Lepisosteus oculatus: one gene and its partner. The protein of the gene in region 1 interacts with the protein of each later gene in a biochemical or structural test. Links are inferred from orthologs where the notes say so. Each region holds a gene or a part of one and is shown in the gene's direction. Other genes may lie near its edges.

Region 1 (11,957 bases):
GGTGTCTCTGCTCACTCAGGATCTGCACAAGTCTCTGGAGAGGAAGTTGGCTCAGTTCCACGAGAGAGAGGATGCGATCCTGTACGCCAGCTGCTTCGATGCCAACGCAGGAATCTTCGAGGTACAGACACTCTCTCTCACCCTCACACTCACTCTCTCACTCTCTCTTCATACTGTCTCTCACACTCCGGAGTTTCCCTGTGTCCTGTCCTGCCTGTCAGGTCCTGCTCACTCCGGACGACGCCGTGCTGTCGGATGAGCTCAATCACGCGTCCATCATCGATGGGATTCGCCTCTGCAAGGCCCACAAGTACCGGTACCGGCACCTTGACCTCAACGACCTGGAGGACAAGCTGAAAGCTGCCCAGGTACTGATCCACATCCAGCTGTACTGCATACAGTATGGTAGTGTGTCAGTGTGCAGGAGGAGTGTGTGTATTAACCCCTCAGTGTGCAGGAGTGTGTGTATTAACCCCTCTCTCTCAGTGCAGTGTCAGTGTACAGTAGTGTGCAGGAGGAGTGTGTGTATTAACCCATCTCTCTCTCTCAGTGCAGTGTCAGTGTACAGTAGTGTGCAGGAGGAGTGTGTGTATTAACCCATCTCTCTCTCTCAGTGCAGTGTCAGTGTACAGTAGTGTGCAGGAGGAGTGTGTGTATTAACCCCTCTCTCTCTCAGTGCAGTGTCAGTGTACAGTAGTGTGCAGGAGGAGTGTGTGTATTAACCCCTCTCTCTCTCTCAGTGCAGTGTCAGTGTACAGTAGTGTGCAGGAGGAGTGTGTGTATTAACCCCTCTCTCTCAGTGCAGTGTCAGTGTACAGTAGTGTGCAGGAGGAGTGTGTGTATTAACCCCTCTCTCTCAGTGCAGTGTCAGTGTACAGTAGTGTGCAGGAGGAGTGTGTGTATTAACCCCTCTCTCTCTCTCAGTGCAGTGTCAGTGTACAGTAGTGTGCAGGAGGAGTTTGTGTATTAACCCCTCTCTCTCTCTCAGTGCAGTGTCAGTGTACAGTAGTGTGCAGGAGGAGTGTGTGTATTAACCCCTCAGTGTGCAGGAGTGTGTACTAACCCCTCTCTCTCTGTAGAAACACAGGCTCCGGCTCATCGCCACAGATGGGGTGTTCTCAATGGACGGGGATGTGGCTCCCCTGCGGGGGGTGTGTGACCTGGCGGAGAGATATGGGGCGCTGGTCTTCATCGATGAGTGCCACGCCACCGGATTCCTGGGGCCGCGCGGACGGTGAGGGCGAGTGGGGTGTCCCCCCAGTGTCCCCCCGACGTCCCCCCGGCTGTGACCGGGCTCATGCTGTTCCCCTCCTGTCCTGCAGGGGCACCGACGAGCTGCTGGGGGTGATGGACCGAGTTCACATTGTCAACTCCACGCTGGGCAAGGCTCTTGGGGGCGCTGCTGGTGAGACCCCTCCCTGTCTGTCTGTGTCCAGTTTCTCTGGCCAGGCTGTGGTCACTGAGCCTGTCCTCTCTGGACAGCCAGGTCTGCCTGTGTCCAGTGTCTCTGGCCAGGCTGTGGTCACTGAGCCTATCCTCTCTGGACAGCCAGGTCAGTCTGTGTCCAGTGTCTCTGTCCAGGCTGTGGTCACTGAGCCTGTCCTCTCTGGACAGCCAGGTCTGTCTGTGTCCAGTGTCTCTGGCCAGGCTGTGCTCAGTGACCCCGTCCTCTCTGGCCAGGGTGTGTCCAGGCTGTGCTCAGTGAGCCGGTCCTCTCTGGCCGGGCTGTGTCCAGGCTGTGCTCAGTGAGCCGGTCCTCTCTGGCCGGGCTGTGTCCAGGCTGTGCTCAGTGACCCGGTCCTCTCTGGCCAGGCTGTGTCCAGGCTGTGCTCAGTGAGCCGGTCCTCTCTGGCCAGGCTGTGTCCAGGCTGTGTCCAGTGAGCCGGTCCTCTCTGGCCGGGCTGTGTCCAGTGAGCCGGTCCTCTCTGGCCGGGCTGTGCTCAGTGAGCCGGTCCTCTCTGGCCAGGCTGTGTCCAGGCTGTGGTCAGTGACCTGGTCCTCTCTGGCCAGGCTGTGCTCAGTGAGCCTGTCCTCTCTGGCCGGGCTGTGTCCAGGCTGTGTCCAGTGAGCCGGTCCTCTCTGGCCGGGCTGTGCTCAGTGAGCCGGTCCTCTCTGGCCGGGCTGTGTCCAGGCTGTGTCCAGTGAGCCGGTCCTCTCTGGCCGGGCTGTGCTCAGTGAGCCGGTCCTCTCTGGCCAGGCTGTGTCCAGGCTGTGCTCAGTGAGCCGGTCTTCTCTGGCCAGGCTGTGTCCAGTGAGCCGGTCCTCTCTGGCCGGGCTGTGTCCAGGCTGTGCTCAGTGAGCCGGTCCTCTCTGGCCGGGCTGTGCTCAGTGAGCCGGTCCTCTCTGGCCGGGCTGTGTCCAGGCTGTGTCCAGTGAGCCGGTCCTCTCTGGCCAGGCTGTGCTCAGTGAGCCGGTCCTCTCTGGCCAGGCTGTGCTCAGTGAGCCGGTCCTCTCTGGCCGGGCTGTGTCCAGGCTGTGTCCAGTGAGCCGGTCCTCTCTGGCCGGGCTGTGCTCAGTGAGCCGGTCCTCTCTGGCCGGGCTGTGCTCAGTGAGCCGGTCCTCTCTGGCCGGGCTGTGTCCAGGCTGTGTCCAGTGAGCCGGTCCTCTCTGGCCAGGCTGTGCTCAGTGAGCCGGTCCTCTCTGGCCGGGCTGTGAGTGAGCCGGTCCTCTCTGGCCGGGCTGTGTCCAGGCTGTGTCCAGTGAGCCGGTCCTCTCTGGCCGGGCTGTGTCCAGGCTGTGCTCAGTGAGCCGGTCCTCTCTGGCCAGGCTGTGTCCAGTGAGCCGGTCCTCTCTGGCCGGGCTGTGTCCAGGCTGTGTCCAGTGAGCCGGTCCTCTCTGGCCAGGCTGTGCTCAGTGAGCCGGTCCTCTCTGGCCGGGCTGTGCTCAGTGAGCCGGTCCTCTCTGGCCGGGCTGTGTCCAGGCTGTGTCCAGTGAGCCAGTCCTCTCTGGCCGGGCTGTGTCCAGGCTGTGCTCAGTGAGCCGGTCCTCTCTGGCCGGGCTGTGTCCAGGCTGTGTCCAGTGAGCCGGTCCTCTCTGGCCGGGCTGTGTCCAGGCTGTGCTCAGTGAGCCGGTCCTCTCTGGCCGGGCTGTGTCCAGGCTGTGTCCAGTGAGCCGGTCCTCTCTGGCCGGGCTGTGTCCAGGCTGTGTCCAGTGACCCGGTCCTCTCTGGCCGGGCTGTGTCCAGTGAGCCGGTCCTCTCTGGCCGGGCTGTGAGTGAGCCGGTCCTCTCTGGCCGGGCTGTGTCCAGGCTGTGTCCAGTGACCCGGTCCTCTCTGGACAGGGGGTTATACCGTGGGCCCGCGGTCCCTGGTGGAGCTCCTGCGCCAGCGCTCCAGGCCGTACCTCTTCTCCAACACGCTGCCCCCGGCTGTGGTGGGCTGCGCCAGCAAGGCCCTGGACCTGCTCACGGCCTCCAGCCAGATCGCACAGAGCATGGCGGACAAGACCAGGAGGTCAGCAGGGGGGTCAGTGTGAGTGTGTGTGAGTGTGAGGGAGGGAGGGAGTGTGAGTGTGGGTGTCTGTGAGAGAGTGTGTGTGAGGGAGTGTATGTGAGTGTGAGTGTGTGTGAGTGTGAGGGACAGTGTGTGAGTGTGAGGGAGGGAGGGAGGGAGTGTGAGGGACAGTGTGTGAGAGGGAGTGTGAGTGTGGGTGTCTGTGAGAGAGTGTGTGTGAGGGAGTGTATGTGAGTGTGAGTGTGTGTGTGTGTGTGTGAGGGAGTGTATGTGAGTGTGAGTGTGTGTGTGTGTGAGGGACAGAGTGTTAACCTGCTCCTCTGTCTCAGGTTCCGGGTGGCGATGACAGAAGCGGGGTTCGCAATTTCGGGGTCAGATCATCCCATCTGCCCCGTCATGCTGGGTGATGCCCGTCTGGCCTCCCTCATGGCTGATGACCTTCTAAAGAAAGGTGGGAGCCCTGGCACCCCTGTGTCCGACTGTTCCAGCCCCTGGCACCCCTGTGTCCGACTGTTCCAGCCCCTGGCACCCCTCTGTCTGACTGTACCAGCCCCTGACACCCCCCTGTGACTGTTCCAGCCCCTGAAACCCCTCTGTCTGACTGTACCAGCCCCTGACACCCCTGTGTCTGACTGTTCCAGCCCCTGACACCCCTGTGTCTGACTGTACCAGCCCCTGACACCCCTGTGTCTGACTGTTCCAGCCCCTGACACCCCTCTGTCTGACTGTACCAGCCCCTGACACCCCCCTGTGACTGTTCCAGCCCCTGAAACCCCTCTGTCTGACTGTACCAGCCCCTGACACCCCTGTGTCTGACTGTACCAGCCCCTGAAACCCCTCTGTCTGACTGTTCCAGCCCCTGACACCCCTGTGTCTGACTGTTCCAGCCCCTGACCAGGTGCACAGTCACAGTCTGACTGTGCCGGCTGCCTGCGGATCAACTCCTTTCTCTCCACCAGGGATCTACGTGATCGGATTCAGCTATCCTGTGGTTCCGAAGGGGAAGGCTCGGATCCGGGTCCAGATCTCAGCGGCGCACAGTGATGATGACATCGACAGCTGCGTCGCTGCCTTTGTGGAGGTGGGGCGCAGGCATGGCGTCGTGTCCTAGCTCCGCTGGTGCGCCCCCGATCCCCGCGGAGAGCAGTCGGCGTGCGGCTGTTTGTGCATCTTTGTGGGAGCGGGGGGGTCTGTGGGCGAGCAGGGGGTCTGTGGTGGGCAGGTGGGTGGGGACACAGTTTCTGTCAATAAAAGTGTTTTGGAGAGCTGTTGTCCCTTTGCTGTCCCTGCTGTTGGAGAGAATCCGCCGTAAACCCCGGAGCGGATCAGAGCTCTCTGCGCTGTAAACCCCGGAGCGGATCAGAGCTCTGTGCGCTGTAAACCCCGGAGCGGATCAGAGCTCTGTGGTTTGTTGTGCCCGTTGTGCCTTCTGGTGGTCGTTTAGGGTATTTCTCGCTATTCTGTCCCTGCTGCCTGGATGTGCCTGTCTCTGATACTGCTAAGTGCCTGCCTGTCATTAAGGTGTGCCCATTATCCCGCACAAGTATCTTTAAAAGTAGCGATCTGACCCCCAGCAGTGAGAGAGCTGAGCCGAGTCTCTCTCCTGTAGGGTGAGTAACACTTCCCTGCTGTGACCACCAGAGGGCGCCTCACTGCTAGTCTATTGATCTAGAGATGATAATAATAATAATAATAATAACAACCACCTTTATTTACAAAGCACCTGTCCAAGCCCAAGGACGCTGTACATAGTAATAAAGAGTCCAGTAAAAAAAACTGAATTAAAAATAGCATACAGGTTCACACAGAATAAGGGCAGACGATTCTGAGCTCGGATCTGAAGAGGGTTAAAAAGTTCTCTTACAACCGGAGGAAGGGCTTTACCATTCCTAAGGTTTAGGAATTATAAATTGAAAAGTATTTCTGTTGTAAAACGCATCAATAAAGATTACTGTAATATCCTTTACACGGAGGGTTGTGGGTTTTAGAACAGACGGCCCGGCCGGTTTCAGCGACACCCTGGGTCGGATTAATTAAAACCGGGGTAAGAGCTATTGCACAGGCGGACCGGATGGACTCCGCTCACGTGCGCCCCCTCTTCCGGGCCTTGTGACGCCTACAGTGAGCGCGGGGCGTTGTGGGATATGCGCGCTTCCGGCGTGACGTCAGACGTCCGTGTTTTTATTTAAATACAAAAGGAAAACACAACAAACGGGTATAAACATACAAATATCTAATGTCTCAACATGGCACAACAAGGTAGCAACGAGTGAATGAAACGGGGAAAAACACTGTTCCCAGTACAGAGGTCATGTGGTGTTAGGGGTTACATTAAATACGTTTATATGCCAAGAGCCTTTTGTAGACCAACTCACCAGGCTTATTTTGTAATATTTTCAGTGACTTAGAGTATAGCGTGAATGAGATAGAAAATTCTCTAAAGCTTATAGGATTCTTTTTTACTCTACACGAGTGTATGTAAACCTTTGCAAACAAGAGAATAACATTTACCATTATACGGACATCTTTGTTTGGATTCGAGACTCCGAGAACAGTATCTTTAAAAGTGAGATGTGCGCGAATATTACTATTGTATAGCCAAGAACAAACCGAGGGCCAGACAGTTGTTGAATGTTGACATGAGAAAAAAATGTGCGCTCTTCAGGACACTCTGCTCAAAGCGGTTTCCAGGTCCTGGGGATCCCCTCCACCCCCCGCAGTGTGCAGCCAGAGTGCGCCAGTCCGCGCCCCACACACCAGCTGAAGGACCACTGCACCTTCACGGACCGGGTCAACTCCAATGCGTCCTAACGATCTTCTGAAAAGAAAATGTATTTACTGGCCTGGCCGTCCGTGCCTCTAATGAAGCCAGTGTGGATAAAAAGCCTGTAACACAATCTAATATCTCCCACCGCTGCTCACAACTGTCAGATTCAAAGGGCTGTATTGGCAAGGCCGATTGCAGAGAAACATTCACAGACTTCTCCTTGTCACGACAGCCGCCATCATGTCCACAGCAAACAGGTCTCGCTTTCCCGCCAGCAGAAACCACACAGGCGGAGGGGGCGGGGTCGGACAACCCTCTCACCCAATCGGAAACCTCTCCCACAACGCAGTGGGCGTCCCCCCCGGAGATTCCCGCGAAAAGTGGAGAGGGGGAGGAGCGAGCCGGGGAAGCGCTTCAGCCAATCGAGTGCGGCCTCTGCGAGCCCAAGCCAATCAGAAGGGGCAGGAGGCTCGGAGCCCCGGCGCGTCACCAGGGAAACGGGCAGTAACGCCCCTTCGGTTTTGCCGCGAAAGCGCGGCGTGGTGCAGCTCATTGTCCTGGACTGAGCGGTTGCGCTTCTTTCTGCTCATACGGGAGGTGACAGAAGCAGAACAAAATGTCGGGCTTCGATGATCCGGGCATCTTCTACAGCGACAGCTTCGGGGGAGACTCCCAGGGGGACGAAGGCACAGTGAAGCGGACCCAAGTGAAGAAGCGCTTTAAGGAGTTTTTGCGGCAGTTTCGAGTCGGAACCGACCGGACCGGGTTCACCTTCAAATACAGGTCGGACCCAGACTAAGGCCACTTAACGGTGTAGTAGTTAATCAAACTGAGGATCCCTGTAATTGTGTAGCGGTGTGTGAGCTTTTAAAGGGGTTGTGCTGTTGTGTGTCCAGGGATGAGCTGAAGCGGCGCTACACGCTGGGGCAGTACTGGGTGTTGTGATGATGTTGTGTGTCCTGGCTGGACTGTGGGTGTTGTGATGATGGGGTTGTGCTGTTGTGTGTCCAGGGATGAGCTGAAGCGGCGCTACACGCTGGGGCAGTACTGGGTGGAGGTTGAGATGGAGGACTTGTCCAGTTTTGATGAGGACCTGGCTGACTGCATCTACAAACAGCCCACTGAGCACCTGCCTCTGGTGAGTCTCTAGCGCCAACTGTACAACCTCCGCAGGCACCTGACTGCAAGCTCTGTTCCCCTCTCCCGCCGCTCTCGGTGTAAGGACATGCTCCACGACCTGAGTGACACACGTGCTGCTTTGCTCTGTCCAATCACAGCTGGAAGAGGCCGCGCAGGAAGTGGCTGATGAGGTGACGAGGCCCCGCCCCGTTGAGGAGGAGGCAGTACAGGAGGTGCAGGTCATGCTGAAGTCAGACAGCAACCCGGCCAACATCCGCAGCCTGAAGGTACAGTATTAACCCCTCTCTCTCAGTGCAGTGTCAGTGTACAGTAGTGTGCAGGAGGAGTGTGTGTATTAACCCCTCTCTCTCAGTGCAGTGTCAGTGTACAGTAGTGTGCAGGAGGGGTGTGTGTATTAACCCCTCTCTCTCTCTCAGTGCAGTGTCAGTGTACAGTAGTGTACAGGAGGAGTGTGTGTATTAACCCCTCTCTCTCAGTGCAGTGTCAGTGTACAGTAGTGTGCAGGAGGAGTGTGTGTATTAACCCCTCTCTCTCTCAGTGCAGTGTCAGTGTACAGTAGTGTGCAGGAGGAGTGTGTGTATTAACCCCTCTCTCTCAGTGCAGTGTCAGTGTACAGTAGTGTGCAGGAGGAGTGTGTGTATTAACCCCTCTCTCTCTCAGTGCAGTGTCAGTGTACAGTAGTGTGCAGGAGGAGTGTGTGTATTAACCCTTCTCTCTCTCAGTGCAGTGTGAGTGTACAGGAGTGTGCAGGAGGAGTGTGTATTAACCTCTCTCTCTCTCAGTGCAGTGTCAGTGTACAGTAGTGTGCAGGAGGAGTGTGTGTATTAACCCCTCTCTCTCTCAGTGCAGTGTCAGTGTAGAGTAGTGTGCAGGAGGAGTGTGTATTAACCCCTCTCTCTCTCAGTGCAGTGTCAGTTTACAGTACTGTGCAGGAGGAGTGTGTGTATTAACCCCTCTCTCTCTCTCAGTGCAGTGTCAGTGTACAGTGGTGTGCAGGAGGAGTGTGTGTATTAACCCCTCTCTCTCTCAGTGCAGTGTCAGTGTACAGTAGTGTGCAGGAGGAGTGTGTGTATTAACCCCTCTCTCTCTCAGTGCAGTGTCAGTGTGCAGTAGTGTGCAGGAGGAGTGTGTGTATTAACCCCTCTCTCTCAGTGCAGTGTCAGTGTACAGTAGTGTGCAGGAGGAGTGTGTGTATTAACCCCTCTCTCTCTCACTGCAGTGTCAGTGTGCAGTAGTGTGCAGTAGTGTGCAGTAGTGTGCAGTAGTGTGCAGTAGTGTGCAGTAGTGTGCAGGAGTGTGCAGTAGTGTGCAGGAGGAGTGTGTATTAACCGGTGTCTCTCTGCAGTCGGAGCAGGTGTGCCGGCTGGTGAAGATCCCAGGGATCGTGGTGTCGTCCTCAGCGGTGCGGGCGAAGGCGGTGCGCATGGCGCTGCAGTGCCGCGGGTGTCGCTCTGTGATGTCCAACATCGCCGTGCGCCCGGGGCTGGAGGGCTACAGCCTGCCGCGCAAGTGCAACACGTGAGTCCCCCGCGCGGCCCGGGCTCGCTCCTGCCGGCCTCTGCCTCTCCCCCCTCTCACCCCGTCCCCGTGTCCGCAGGGAGCAGCCGGGCCGGGTCAAGTGCCCGGTCGACCCGTACTTCATCGTGCCGGACAAGTGCGTGTGCGTGGACTACCAGACGCTCAAGCTGCAGGAGGCGCCCGACGCCGTGCCGCACGGAGAGATGCCCCGGCACCTGCAGCTGTACTGCGACAGGTGGGGGCCGTGCCCTGGGGGGGCGGGGGGCCGGGGGGCCGGGGGCCGCGAGCCTGACACCTGCCTGTCCGCGCAGGTACCTCTGCGACCGCGTCGTGCCGGGGAACCGCGTGACCGTGATGGGCATCTACTCCATCCGCAAGGCCGGCAAGACCAGCAGCAAGGGGCGGGACCGCGCCGGGGTCGGCCTCCGCTCCTCCTACCTGAGGGTCGTGGGCATCCAGGTGGACACTGAGGGCGCAGGTGAGGGGACCCCAGAGACCTGCTGTGTGACCTCCAGGCCACAGTGAGGCGCTCTGCTCCTCTCTCATCTGTCCTGTCTGCTGCTGTGTGACCTCCAGGCCACAGTGAGGCGCTCTGCTCCTCTCTCATCTGTCCTGTCTGCTGCTGTGTGACCTCCAGGCCACAGTGAGGCGCTCTGCTCCTCTCTCATCTGTCCTGTGTCTGTGTGTGACCTCCAGGCCACAGTGAGGCGCTCTGCTCCTCTCTCATCTGTCCTGTCTGCTGCTGTGACCTCCAGGCCACAGTGAGGCGGTCTGCTCCTCTCTCACCCTGTCCTGTCTGCTGCTGTGTGACCTCCAGGCCACAGTGGGGCGCTCTGCTCCTCTCTCACCCTGTCCTGTCTGCTGCTGTGTGACCTCCAGGCCACAGTGGGGCGCTCTGCTCCTCTCTCATCTGTCCTGTGTCTGTGTGTGACCTCCAGGCCACAGTGAGGCGCTCTGCTCCTCTCTCATCTGTCCTGTCTGCTGCTGTGACCTCTAGGCCACAGTGAGGCGCTCTGCTCCTCTCTCACCCTGTCCTGTCTGCTGCTGTGTGACCTCCAGGCCACAGTGAGGCGCTCTGCTCCTCTCTCATCTGTCCTGTCTGCTGCTGTGACCTCTAGGCCACAGTGAGGCGCTCTGCTCCTCTCTCACCCTGTCCTGTCTGCTGCTGTGTGACCTCCAGGCCACAGTGGGGCGCTCTGCTCCTCTCTCATCTGTCCTGTCAGCTGCTGTGTGACCTCCAGGCCACAGTGGGGCGCTCTGCTCCTCTCTCATCTGTCCTGTCTGCTGCTGTGTGACCTCCAGGCCACAGTGAGGCGCTCTGCTCCTCTCTCATCTGTCCTGTCTGCTGCTGTGTGACCTCCAGGCCACAGTGAGGACCTCTGCTCCTCTCTCATCTGTCCTGTGTCTGTGTGTGACCTCCAGGCCACAGTGAGGCGCTCTGCTCCTCTCTCATCTGTCCTGTGTCTGTGTGTGACCTCCAGGCCACAGTGAGGCGCTCTGCTCCTCTCTCATCTGTCCTGTCTGCTGCTGTGTGACCTCCAGGCCAGTGAGGCGCTCTGCCCCTCTCTCATCTGTCCTGTCTGCTGCTGTGTGACTTCCAGGCCACAGTGAGGCGCTCTGCCCCTCTCTCATCTGTCCTGTCTGCTGTGTGACCTCCAGGCCACAGTGAGGCGCTCTGTTCCTCTCTCATCTGTCCTGTGTCTGTGTGTGACCTCCAGGCCACAGTGAGGCGCTCTGCTCCTCTCTCATCTGTCCTGTCTGCTGCTGTGTGACCTCCAGGCCACAGTGAGGCGCTCTGCTCCTCTCTCACCCTGTCCTGTCTGCTGCTGTGTGACCTCCAGGCCACAGTGAGGACCTCTGCTCCTCTCTCACCCTGTCCTGTGTCTGTGTGTGACCTCCAGGCCACAGTGAGGCGCTCTGCCCCTCTCTCACCCTGTCCTGTGTCTGTGTGTGACCTCCAGGCCACAGTGGGGCGCTCTGCTCCTCTCTCACCCTGTCCTGTCTGCTGCTGTGTGACCTCCAGGCCACAGTGAGGCGCTCTGCTCCTCTCTCATCTGTCCTGTCTGCTGCTGTGTGACCTCCAGGCCACAGTGGGGCGCTCTGCTCCTCTCTCATCTGTCCTGTCTGCTGCTGTGTGACCTCCAGGCCACAGTGGGGCGCTCTGCTCCTCTCTCATCTGTCCTGTCTGCTGCTGTGTGACCTCCAGGCCACAGTGAGGCGCTCTGCCCCTCTCTCACCCTGTCCTGTGTCTGTGTGTGACCTCCAGGCCACAGTGGGGCGCTCTGCCCCTCTCTCACCCTGTCCTGTGTCTGTGTGTGACCTCCAGGCCGCAGTGCTGTGGGCACCGTCTCTCCCCAGGAGGAGGAAGAGCTCCGCGCGCTGGCGGCCTCCCCTGGTGTGTATGAGTCTGTGGCGCGCAGTATAGCGCCCTCTATCTACGGGAGTCAGGACCTGAAGAAAGCCATCGCGTGCCTGCTGTTTGGCGGGTCCCGGAAAAGGTGAAGTCTTGATGAGCTGCAGCGTGTTCGTTAAACAGAAGTGCTGTCAGTGCGGGCCGGTGTGTGAACCCCTCTCTCTCCCCAGGCTCCCGGACGGCCTGACTCGCCGGGGCGACATCAATCTCCTGATGCTGGGGGACCCTGGGACGGCCAAGTCCCAGCTGCTGAAGTTTGTGGAGCGCTGCTCTCCTATTGGGGTATGGCCTGTGTCCGCCTGTGCGCCCCGCTGCGCCCCGTCTCTGTCTCTCTCTCGGGGGTGACGCCCTGTCTCTCTCCCCCGCAGGTCTACACCTCGGGCAAGGGCAGCAGCGCGGCAGGCCTGACCGCCTCCGTCATGCGCGACCCCGTCTCGCGCAGCTTCGTCATGGAGGGCGGCGCCATGGTGCTGGCGGACGGGGGCGTGGTCTGCATCGATGAGTTCGACAAGGTCAGAGGTCATGCCCGCGTGGGTTCGGCTCTGTCTCTCCTGCAGCTGCGGCTCTGACCCTCTTGTCTCTGCTCTTGCAGATGAGGGAGGACGATCGAGTGGCCATTCATGAGGCTATGGAGCAGCAGACCATCTCCATCGCCAAGGTGACTCTC
Region 2 (11,293 bases), on another chromosome or scaffold:
CTTAAATAACATTAATACCAAGCTATTTTCAATTCCCCCTGATAAAAAACAGAAGATACACAACTTTGAAAAATAAGCCCTAACATACAGTATATAAAAAGAAAGCCTTCTGGTATTTTTATGGTATGAATTCTATATATTTTGTCCTTGACTATAAAAAAAATTGAGAATGTAAATCCTTCAAATTTCACAATACACATTTCTAAAACAGAATCAAAGTGGTTTCAAAGCAAAAGTCATGAGGGAAAAGCAAACACTGACACACAACAAAATAACCTAATGTTAGCAAACTGCATGATCCCATTTTGTGTGTTGTTATCTGCCTATTGCCGCTAAAATAAAATCAATTCCTTGCATTCGTATTGCATTTCATCCCACTGGGTCTCTAAGCACTTTATCAACGGGGGGCACCCATTTCATCAGCCACTGACATGATCTGCGTGATACACAGGGGCCCCACTACACATTGAATCAGGTGGAGAAGTAAAAAAAAACGTTACTTCACCAATTAAGGGGATAGTTTAGACAGACCCAGTTGAGAGATAATATAATAATACTACAAAAACATTAAAAAATAAGAAAAACAATTTCAGTCATCAAGCACACAGGACAGGATATGGTATTATGTCAGCAATAAGCCCTTCAAGTCACGTTCAGCACTACTATATAAGCCTAGTTAATCTGATTTAAACTAGTTTACCTCGTTCAGTTCCAATAAACTGGAGTTTAGTCATTTTGCAAAAAAACAAGGAATGAGCTAAAGCAGTACAAAGATGCAACGATATAAGAAGACTGAAGCTTTTTTGATATATTTGATTTTGATATATTACTTTAATTGTACATTTTTTTCCTGCAGGGACATGTATAGTTTAAAAATAAACCACGTAAAAATAACTCATAGGCTGTTGGGATTCCCCAGGAAGTGAAACATTATCTTGCTACGTTTTAGGTTAAAAAACCTATGAATAAAGAAGTAGTATTTAGTTAATTAAAACTAGTATTTTATGGCATACTGCATAGAAACCCGTCAGCAGGCACTTTAATCTATGCACTGTAATACAGATGCATCACTTGTATGCAGGCAGATCTGTAGACTTGACAGTCCTTCAACATCTTTGGAGCTATCCAGGTCACAGGTAATGTCTCCTAATATCATAGTGATCTAATGACTGTCCCTTGCTCGTGCAACAATATGAAAGACTGGACGAAGCAGTCACCTGTGATGGCGGCGGAGGCGGAGTCTGGAATGTCTGAGAGGGCGGGGCAGTAGGAGGAGCCTGCAGGAAAGCTGCCTGCTGAAGCTGCTGGGCCTGGCCTTGCTGCAGCTGGGGTGGAGCCAGATAGGGGTTGGCCCGGCTGCTCAAGGGAGTGTGGCGGTAGGGGTTGTATCCCGCTGGCTGAGCCTGTCCACTAGGTGGGGCTACGCTGCTCGGCGGTAGGGTGTACCCTGCCTGAGGGCCCGGAAAAGCTGCATTTCCAAACTGAGAAACCGGGGGCTGAGCGAAGTTTGACGGAGAGGCCGAGGTGGTGGGGTACACATTTTGTCCTGGGCAGACGGAAGGCAGAGAAACAGCCGGCCTCACTGAGGTCACTGTCCCTGCCGAAGATGCTGGAGAAGCACACTGCTGTCCTATCGAGGCAAAAGGATCACTGCTGGTTGTGGATTTAGAAAAGTAGCTGAAGGTAGGTGGGTGGTCTGCATTTTCTGATGTCTGGCCAAGGAAACTGTCCTCTTCTCCGACATCCGCTGAATCCTCTGTTTAAAAGAAAAGGCACAGAAACATTAGGCCAAGAACACAGACTTGGCAAGCCCAATGAGCTACATAATCAAGGTTCTAATATACTCCAACCTGCACCAAACCTTTTCAGTAAATCCCAGAGTTTAAGTGTAATTTACTCTCCAGACGAGCAAGGACAACAAGGCAAAATAGAATTACAGGAGATGACCTACTTCATCCACGACGAAGTGTAGCACCTACCTGGATGATACACTACAGTCATCACCACCCCTACCCTCTACACAGCACAACAGGTGAAGTGGGAAACTCCTTCACCTGCTCAGTGAACTTCATGCAGGCCCAATTAGACAGGCAAGCCTGGAGCAAAGTCTAGGTAGAACAAAAGGGTTTACACCCCAACTACTCTCATGAAAAGTGCCATGGGATCTTCACTAGCCCATTGAAATTCCAACATTCATACCCAAGCCCAGACAAAAAAAAACAGCCATAACCTGAAATTATGGTTGTTTTCACATTTTGGAAAGGTCAACTTTTTCAAGAAAACAGAACTGCCAAGTTTAGACCTCTGATCTAGCTGTTCTGGAATGATCATTTCGTACACTCTCCTTAAGGTGCGTTACATACAGTAGGAAACTGTTGCAAGGAGCTGATTAAGGAATCCTCTGTGAGTTGCAGTACACTGCAATTCTCTCACACATGCTAGATGACAGGGCACAAGCCAGGACATGACACATGAGCAGGAAATGGAGCTTCATACCCACCTCCATCCATTGCTTCAACTCGCAAAAACAGCATTTACACCTACTTTGGATCCTGACCCACAGCTGAAGAGCCCATGTGTTACAATGATTATCATTCTGTCCAATCAACTCTTTTTTGCCACACTAAACTACTTTCTATGTTTTTCACATTTAATCACAATAATACTATTATCTGTAAGCTTAAGCTTCCAAAGACTACGATTAAGCATCAAATTTCATAATTCCTCCTCACCTCTTTATGAAAAGAATGGACACATAGCTAGAGAGAGTAAAAGGTCTAAAAACTAGTCCAGTTTAATGCAAGACTGCTTGCTGTTGACTAGATTATGACTGAGACACTGCTGCTGAATCGCTATTGTGACATCAGTTAGATGGCACCAGCAGGCTTACTATGATGTCATTACGACTGAATCTGAAAATATTTTACTTCTTTATTCATAGGTTTTGCAACCTAAAAGTGGAATGAAAGTGGAACGTAGCAAGATAATATTCCACTTCCTGAGGAATCCCAACAGCCTATCAGGCATTTTTACTTGGTATATTTTTAAACTATACATGTCCCTGCAGAAAAACTAAAATAATATATCAAAATAATAAATAAAAGCTGTAGAAACACAAATACTCCTCTTATAATAACTAACAAAGATGCATGGCACTCCATGCTCAGAGTTCATGCATGTTAACCAGTAGTAATCAGTTCAACAGCAACACTCACTCTGGTATTCTCTTCATACTTTTACAGCCAGGGCTACAGATCCAAATATAACGGTTAATTGGAAATGTTCTTGGCTATGACTTCAAAGTAATTCATGCAGCAAAAAATCTTATCAAGCGACAGATGGTGTTCAGCATGGAAGTTCATGTTTGAAGACAACAAAACATAAAAAGGAAAAGAAACAACTACAAAACAGAACAAATACTAAAATTAGGCTCAACCTAAGTTGCTTCCCACACTAAATTAGGACCTAGTGACAAAGATCTTGGGTAAATTTAAGCTGGCAGCTTTTGATATGGTGCAACCTCCCTGTTCTGTACCACTGGGCATTTCTTCAAATAGTAGGTTAATTCCATGCTGAAAAGAGAAGAAAGAAAACACAATGTTTCGACCGTGGAGCCGTGTGAGGATGAGGAGGTTGCTCACACCCGAAGAAGGCTCAATGGCCAGAATGTTGTGTTTTCTTTCTTCACTTTTCAGCATGGAATAAACCTATTACTTGTTCCTTTGCAGCCTACGCATGCTGACACAGCTACCCACCTGAACTATTTCTTCAAATATATGTATACAGTATGTATTTTCCAGAATGATCTCTGAAAGACTTAATTTAACAGACCACCTATTTGCGGTTCACAGTTATACTGTTACAGGTCTTTATAAATTGATTAAATGGTTACCTATAAGGGCACGTCTAGTAAAAAGCATACTTAATACTCAGTTTCACTGCTTTAAAGATAACACATAATCAGAAAATATATCTGTAACCATTGTGTAATGTACACTTTATTAAAGAAATACTCAAATGAGGATGCAATTATAACATTTAAAAGGCAGGAAGCTTAGCTGATCACAGCTTAACTGTATGCTTGCTGATATGATAATGACAACTGAGACAACAACTAATCTCGCCCTCTTATACTACATAATGCCTGTTTACTCCAACACGACGTCGGTGAGGTGGCCAGTTCATCTTTGTGCCGGGCACTCTTCTAAATGTCACACTGACAGATTTTTCGTTTTCTAACAAAAAAGTTCATTTAATTCTGACCTTGCCATGATCGTTAATAGCAATAAAATATATTTCTAGTTTGATCCAATTAAAACGTAGCGAATTTTAAAGCTGTCTATCCTCACACACACAAATATCTTTAAATGTTGGGATTTTGAAAGTAAATAGAGCGCTATCAATACAATCGTATCGAGTATCGATCGATCATAGCTATTTACAGTAATTCATGACGGTTGGTGATGATCAACATTGTTAAGTTATTAATTAAAAAAATACTTAGGCAAATCAAAGTTTAGATCTACTTTTATAACACACTTCAAAGTGAAACGGCGTTGTGGCCTTGGCGTGTTGGTCTTTTAAAATCAAATGTAATCAATGAACACCGTAAAACTGAAACGTAATTGATAACCCTGCTTGTTCACGATATCAACAGGGACACTAATACGATTTTCGCACCGAACTGCATAAAAACTTCAAACAACCACAACAGCATTTTTGTGCTCACTCGAAACAACTGAAAAGCACAGCTGGCAGTTTTTTAATCGTCAGGTTAAATAAAGAGGCAGGAATAGGCGGACTATTTAGATTAATAATACTGCACCCGATTACTTCTCCAGTCTGTGGTACATTACCTCCCGAAAGCACCGCAGGCGCGGTGGCTTGACTGACAGGAATAAACGGTACGCTGAAGTTAAACTCCGGAGCCGTGGAGAAAAGCAGATTTGTGCTGGAACTGCTGTTCTGCTTCTTCTCAGCCATTTTCAGACATCAATTACACGTATCCTACCAGCTTCAGTTCTACGGACCGGATCTGGGGTAAAAGGTCGAGGTACGTCACACACAGCTGATCCGCTCATTGAGTAGCTTGCCACTAGTATCTTTGCCAGTAACCAAGATGGAAATCAACAGCTCTGAAGATGGTTCAAAACCAGCTAACAAGCAAAGTTGCAAAAAAAAAATCAAATATACTGTTAAACAGGAAACGTTAAGGTTGTAATGGCATTTTGCATTTCTTTTATTAATTAAATTGTATAATTAACAGACTATCACTTAATAATTATTATGAATGCAAGCATAACATAATTACAATTCAGAAAAATAGGAATTCCCTCATAAAACAGAATTTTAGACCGGTATTGGATGGCATAACAGGATTTAGCATTATTTATCAAATAAAGTATTGATTTGTAGTGGTTTTAGTGATATGAATATAGTCATACCAAATTTCAATACGACATAACTGCATGAAACTGATATTCCAAAATCCTGAAACTGCAGACAGTATTGTAGCAGGTCTATGCATAAGCTGTGGGGTTATCCATAAACTGTGGGCAGCCAGTTGATGTTTATTATTGTAGAATTCTTTGTAGCAGGTCTAACACCTGTTCTTAAGACTAAAGCATATTTGTCTGGCAGGCCTTTAGTCTCACTATGTAACAAGCCAGTTTTTGTACCTCCTACAAAGTTGTGTGGAAATGGTATATGGACTCTTTTACCTCACACAGAGCTGACCCTTATCGATTCGAGGAAAGAGCAACACTAAGCACTAAGTGTTGCTGTTCAGGGAAAGCTCAGTGTTCCTAAAAAAATATCTCAAGCTTTTATTTGCTATGTAGCACTTTTCTGTTGGTTGTAAGAGGTGTTGTTTGAGATGCACAGCGCAGTCCCCTCTCTCCATTTTTTAAATCATTTTCTGGTGCTTTTGATTGGAAATCAAATGGTAATGGAAATCACAGTCATCTTCTCAAATGCACATCTGTCTTCCAACTGACAAAAAAATAATTCAAGAAGGCATCTGTGGCAGAGTGCATAGGCAGCAAAGGAACAAGTTAAGGTTTATTCCATGCTGAAAAGAGAAGAAAAGAAACACACTGTTTCGGCTGTAGAGTCTTCTTCAGGTTGTCTTTTCAAAAGACAACCTTTTCAAAACAAAAAGGATTCTATTTATATGCCTGATATCCCTAGAAATAAAGCTAACACAGGGCAAATTCTTTTCTTCAAAGCCTCAAAGCACCTAAGTATGGTGAGGCTGTGGAAGGTAATTTCCTTATCATTGTACTATTCTCTAACATATATAATGCTTTTTTATTATTCTAACAGATGAATGTTCGAAATAAAAGCAGAGGTCCCCACTTTAGGCATTTATGGACAGTTATATCTTCTTTAGCAAATGGTTTAAATGTATGAATGTATGGCAGTTTAAACATTCTATATTTGGGAGTAAATTTCATCACGGGAAAATAGTTCAAGGAGCTCAAACAATGTTGAAAGTTCAACGTGGAAAACAAAGAAAGATGTGTTAAAGTTAAATTCTCCCAGCATGAAGACGCCCACAGTAAAAATGGCGTCAAAGCGGTTTCAGTAGGTCTCTGACGCAATACTTGCGGCAAAGTTCAGAGGTTCATCTCTGGTGACGTAAATTTCCCGCCATTGTGAATTGTCCCTTGGAGCTGCGTGAGTTTCTGAATCTGGTTCCTGTAGTGAAGAATTGTATTTTCAAATTTACTTTTCTCGCGCTCCAAGCAATCAACTACAGTTTAAAGCAAGCAAAGATGCCTTCTGCTCTAGATTGGATTAACAGCCCTTTAAGCGTTGTGCAGGGATTTTTTGGTAAGTGGATCTTTTTGCAACGATGCGTTTTATGCAGTTTCTCAGCAAATTGCGATCCAATTTGAAATGCATGTAGCCTATTCACATACCGAGTTTATGTCATATAACAGTAGTTTAATATCTATCTTCAACCGCAGAAAGTAGTGCTACAATTTGTTTACTGTCAAAAAGTCACGGGAAAAGTTATGGTTCCTGTTTCTTAAACTTTCACAGTACGCGAAATGTGTCCAGAAATCGAATGTACATTCTTCAATATTATAGTATGTCAATATTATAAGAACCTAGGAAACAAGATCTACTGATATATGATCTGATGCTGGATGTTGGTAAAGGATAATTTTGGTTGCTTTAACCCGTACTAGAGAGATTTAAACCGCGGATAGAGAATCTGATTTTGCCTATTTTATAGATGTTTAAAAAAGTAACTATATATGCTCAGGATGTTGTCTATAACTATTTCTTTCTGTTGTGTGGCTTCCTATGTTTGATCATGTTCGCCACTCACTGTTGTCACATGTTGCTGGACTCTTCTGAGCCTCAGGCGTGGTGTAAACAGTGCAAATCGAAACTAGGGGATTAGATGCATTTCATCCGGAGAAGCACGGTCATAGAGTGCGAGAAACAAAATCCCTTTCGGACATGGATTTTAGCCTCGTTGCAGGAATTTGGCAAAGCTAAATGACTGAATTGATTTAATTGCACGAATTAAGTGCTCGCTTTGGATCGGGATAGTTTATCTACCCCGATCGCTGTACTACCGCGGAGCAACTACTGAGATTTTTTAATTAATAGCATAAGATAAAAAAAATACGTGTTTTAAAAAAAAACAAGAAACCTGTAACGCCCTCCCTTTTCCAACTTTTACGTTAATTATTCGATTTGTATAATATCACTGTTAACTTTTCGTTTTAACGATAGAATAATGTACTGTAAATTAGATCATTACTTTTTCATTAACGTATTAAGTATAGATCAACTAAAAAAGTATGACTCTTTGAAGGTGGTCACAGCTCATTAACCCAGATGTTTGTGTTTAATGAGTAGTCTCAATTCCATGTAAAAGCAACCCCTAACTGAAAGCAATTTATATATTTGGGCGGTAGGAGTTTTCCACTACATCAGGTAGCAAAAATCTTAACTAAATATTTTTCCACAAGTTTTGCATTTCGAGACGAATGGGTGCACCTCTTATAACAGAATGGGTAATCGGTGCACCTCTCCTCAATCTAGTTCAGTGCTCTAGTTCACTCTCCGCGTTCTTGCAGCTCAGACCCCCAATCCTGAATGGGAGAAGAAAGTGGTGGAGTATTTTAAAGAGAAGCTAAAAGTGAATGATGCAGCAAACTGGGTAAGTCTGAGTTTGTCCTCTTACCGAAAGGATCAAAAACAATGATATTTAGATTTGAAACCTCCATATATAATTGTAACTATTACAGTACATACTGTACTTGCTCGCTTTTCTACTTATCCTGCATGTGTATTGGGGCTGCCTGGGTATAATAACCCAATATAATAGAGTGTCGCTTAGTTGGATACAGCACTGTGCTGATGCTGTGGAATTGTAAATAAATGCATACATGCTGACGTGTAGTTAATTTCTCTGTTGTTCCATGTGTGCTTGCCACAAGCAATGGACAGTCCAATGGATCACACACTAACTAATAAGGTTAAGTGTAACCTAACAGCTATGAATAGTGCTGTTTTGTTTTACCAGGTTCCTTCTTTAAATGATGTTCCTCTACACTACCTGAAGCCTGACAGTCTGGTCAAGTTCCGGTGTATGGTGCAGGACATGTTTGATCCGGAGTTCTACATGGGAGTGTACGAAACCGTTGACCCCGTTTCGAAAGAACGAGTGAGTACCCAGCCTGTCTCTTCTGCCTTCCCATCGTTTGGTGTCATCACCCTTCGCGGCTGCTGTGGACATTACTGTCGTAAGGGGGGTTTTTGTTTGGTTCGCTGCATCCTGTTTCACAGGATGGCAAGTCTGAAATGCTACTGAGAGGAATTCTTTCCTTTCATGATTGCGGGTCTCTTCATAGTTGTCACTATAATAAATAAAATGCTGGATGAAAACATCAGAGTAATTTGCTTACGTATAAAAATAAAGCAGTCTTTAACACTGGAAGTTGTGAGTATTTTTGGTTTGATGAATTCACAATCAGAATTGTTGCATTCCTTAATTGATGACTGCCAGGCAATAGTTGACTATCGCTCTGCCATCTTCTCTGTGCTTTTGTACCATCGTTCACTTGCATATATCCATCTGCTGTGATTCGTAAGGAAAATAGCTTTTCAGCCTCTTAAGACTTAAACATGATTCGTGATACTTGCAAAACTGCTGTTTTGTTTCGGCATGGCTTTCTGCCATGTGACCATCACACAGCGACTCCTATTTTAACTGGTGCCTTGTTGTTTCTTGCAGATGTTGCGATTTGGAAAATACAGAGACATTGCAGAATGTGGGGTAAGTGATGATCCTTTTTTCTACATGTATATTAAGCTGTAGAGCCTTGCAGCAATAACAGGTTAGGCCAGCAGACACTGTGTAGGACGGTTTCTGTATCAATGCAGTGCATGTGTTTGCACCATGGAATCAGGTGGTTAGGAGAATGCAGTGCTGCTACACGTGATGGAAGCCATTTTACTCCCTGGACTTTGGCAGCCTGTAAAAGACTGAGAAATCCCTGACAACCGTACTTTGGTAAAACACAACAAGGTTTAAACTGAGCAACTTGCTTGATAACGACAGACCTCAGGAAGGTCACAGAACAAAAGACCTTGGTACAAAGCTAACAGGCAGGTTCATGGTCTGTAAAATGGATGAGAGAGCCTAACTCTCTGACCCAACCAGCTGGAGGCCAGTCTGACTATATTAAACGGTGAAAAGGTTTCACCAACCATCAGAAACCAATGCACATTAGCCACAACCACATGGTTTGGGTGTGGAGGTCTTATAAACTTCACGTAGTTTAGTTTGAGATGAAATATACAAAATGTCACAGTTAAGAATAGTAATTCAAGAATAAAAAAATATGAATAAAAGGCTTTCATTTGGCATATCTTTAAGAAACCTTTTGGTTACTGTTTGCTTTATAAAGGTACCATGAATATGTGCCTGAACCCTTCAAGGGTAAAAATGTAAGTTCATAAGATTATGATGTTTCTAATGGATGTGTTTTTATATGACCATTTATTCATTAAAAAGGCTAAGTCATGGACCAGGGTTTCTTCCTACATCAATTTTGTTTGAAGAGTGTCTATGTGGGAGTAAATAGAGTGTTATTCTGGATACGGTTTTCCATTAGGGGGCAGCAGAACTACATTGCTATCTCTGCATTTAATCCCAGAATGTACTCACTGTTAAAAAGCTGATAACTTCTCTTTCTAATTTGAATGCTTTTAGCCTCAGCAGGAAGTCGACCTGAACTCGAACAAGAGTGTAACTCTGGAGAGACAAACCTTCTATTGTGTGCCTATTCCTGGAGAGTCCCCTTGGGTGAAAGAGATATCCTTTCATTTGTTTTTTGAAAATATGATATAGGGTTAGATTTGCCGATTGATCACACTTGGCATTTTTGGATCTGAGAAAGCCAGAATATCAGAACTGTCTGCCACTCATTTGCTGAACAGATTTTAAAGTCGGTTGGAGAGCATTTAAACATCAACTAATGAAATGTCCATTTGATAAAGAATGTAGGTGCTTCAACTACTTGCCAAGCGTTGTCTCAAAATTGTAAAGAATCGTGAAAGAAAGGGTAACAAGCATAAATCTTGTGATAGAGGTAATATGCCAACTCAGATGTTTTTATTTAAAACTCATTCAGTATTTTTTAAAGCTCTGTGGATGGTAAAAGTCTGCAGAAGAGAGAACTCAGCAGTGTGAACATTCACAAGTCTTGATAGTTTTGAGTCAGTCAACAGCAAAACTCAAGTTGTTAATGTGTGCTGGAGGTTAAGGAGTGGCAAAACAATTTAGAATGTTTCTGTTAGCATGCAAAATCTTTGTTGATTCAGAGACTAGCCACGCACGTTCTGTGTAATTTAGATGGCTCTGGTCTGACTCTGCTAGGCTGGTTTGCACTGTAATTGATCTTAACTTTGTCGTGCACACCTACGCCTGTGAAAGTCAGGCCCGTGTCAGTCCTTCAACATCTTACACACCCTGCCGTCACAAGCGCAGCTATGAGGAGGACGAAGATATGGACATGCAGCCTTCCAAACAAAAAGACCAGCTTTCAGGTATCTCAAGCTCTTACATCTAAAGAGAAGGCAAAGAGCAAGGCTTCTGTTTATAGCCGTGAATTGTAATTTTGACTCTGTTACCTTGGAGCTCAGAGCTTTTGCTTCGTTCTAATTTTTTTCGGTCCACCCAGAAATTGTTCGGTATTTAGAAACAAAGTCTACTCATTATAGTGTTAGAATGGAACTAGCAAATCACAGTTTGTCCTAGGTAGAA

Evidence for each region.
Region 2: the proteins of mcm5 (region 1) and mcmbp form a complex in vitro, tested with the Homo sapiens proteins (2 studies listed by BioGRID). The link is inferred for Lepisosteus oculatus from reciprocal best matches to the Homo sapiens genes MCM5 and MCMBP.

What each region holds. Positions count from the first base shown.
Region 1 is NC_090707.1:39,634,722-39,646,678, reverse strand, and holds the start of mcm5 (DNA replication licensing factor MCM5), read left to right. Parts: upstream 1-6,724; 5' UTR 6,725-6,835; coding exon 6,836-7,002; intron 7,003-7,230; coding exon 7,231-7,357; intron 7,358-7,496; coding exon 7,497-7,625; intron 7,626-8,704; coding exon 8,705-8,877; intron 8,878-8,956; coding exon 8,957-9,112; intron 9,113-9,188; coding exon 9,189-9,355; intron 9,356-11,203; coding exon 11,204-11,375; intron 11,376-11,460; coding exon 11,461-11,572; intron 11,573-11,658; coding exon 11,659-11,802; intron 11,803-11,882; coding exon 11,883-11,948; intron 11,949-11,957. Other genes in the region: gcat (2-amino-3-ketobutyrate coenzyme A ligase, mitochondrial), read left to right, coding at 20-121, 222-368, 1,080-1,234, 1,323-1,405, 3,281-3,452, 3,782-3,903, 4,412-4,563. UniProt on the Homo sapiens protein: Acts as a component of the MCM2-7 complex (MCM complex) which is the replicative helicase essential for 'once per cell cycle' DNA replication initiation and elongation in eukaryotic cells.
Region 2 is NC_090699.1:33,812,340-33,823,632, reverse strand, and holds the start of mcmbp (mini-chromosome maintenance complex-binding protein), read left to right. Parts: upstream 1-6,649; 5' UTR 6,650-6,776; coding exon 6,777-6,834; intron 6,835-8,099; coding exon 8,100-8,182; intron 8,183-8,548; coding exon 8,549-8,689; intron 8,690-9,259; coding exon 9,260-9,301; intron 9,302-10,240; coding exon 10,241-10,343; intron 10,344-10,947; coding exon 10,948-11,076; intron 11,077-11,293. Other genes in the region: sec23ip (SEC23-interacting protein), read right to left, coding at 1,218-1,756, 4,857-4,983. UniProt on the Homo sapiens protein: Associated component of the MCM complex that acts as a regulator of DNA replication.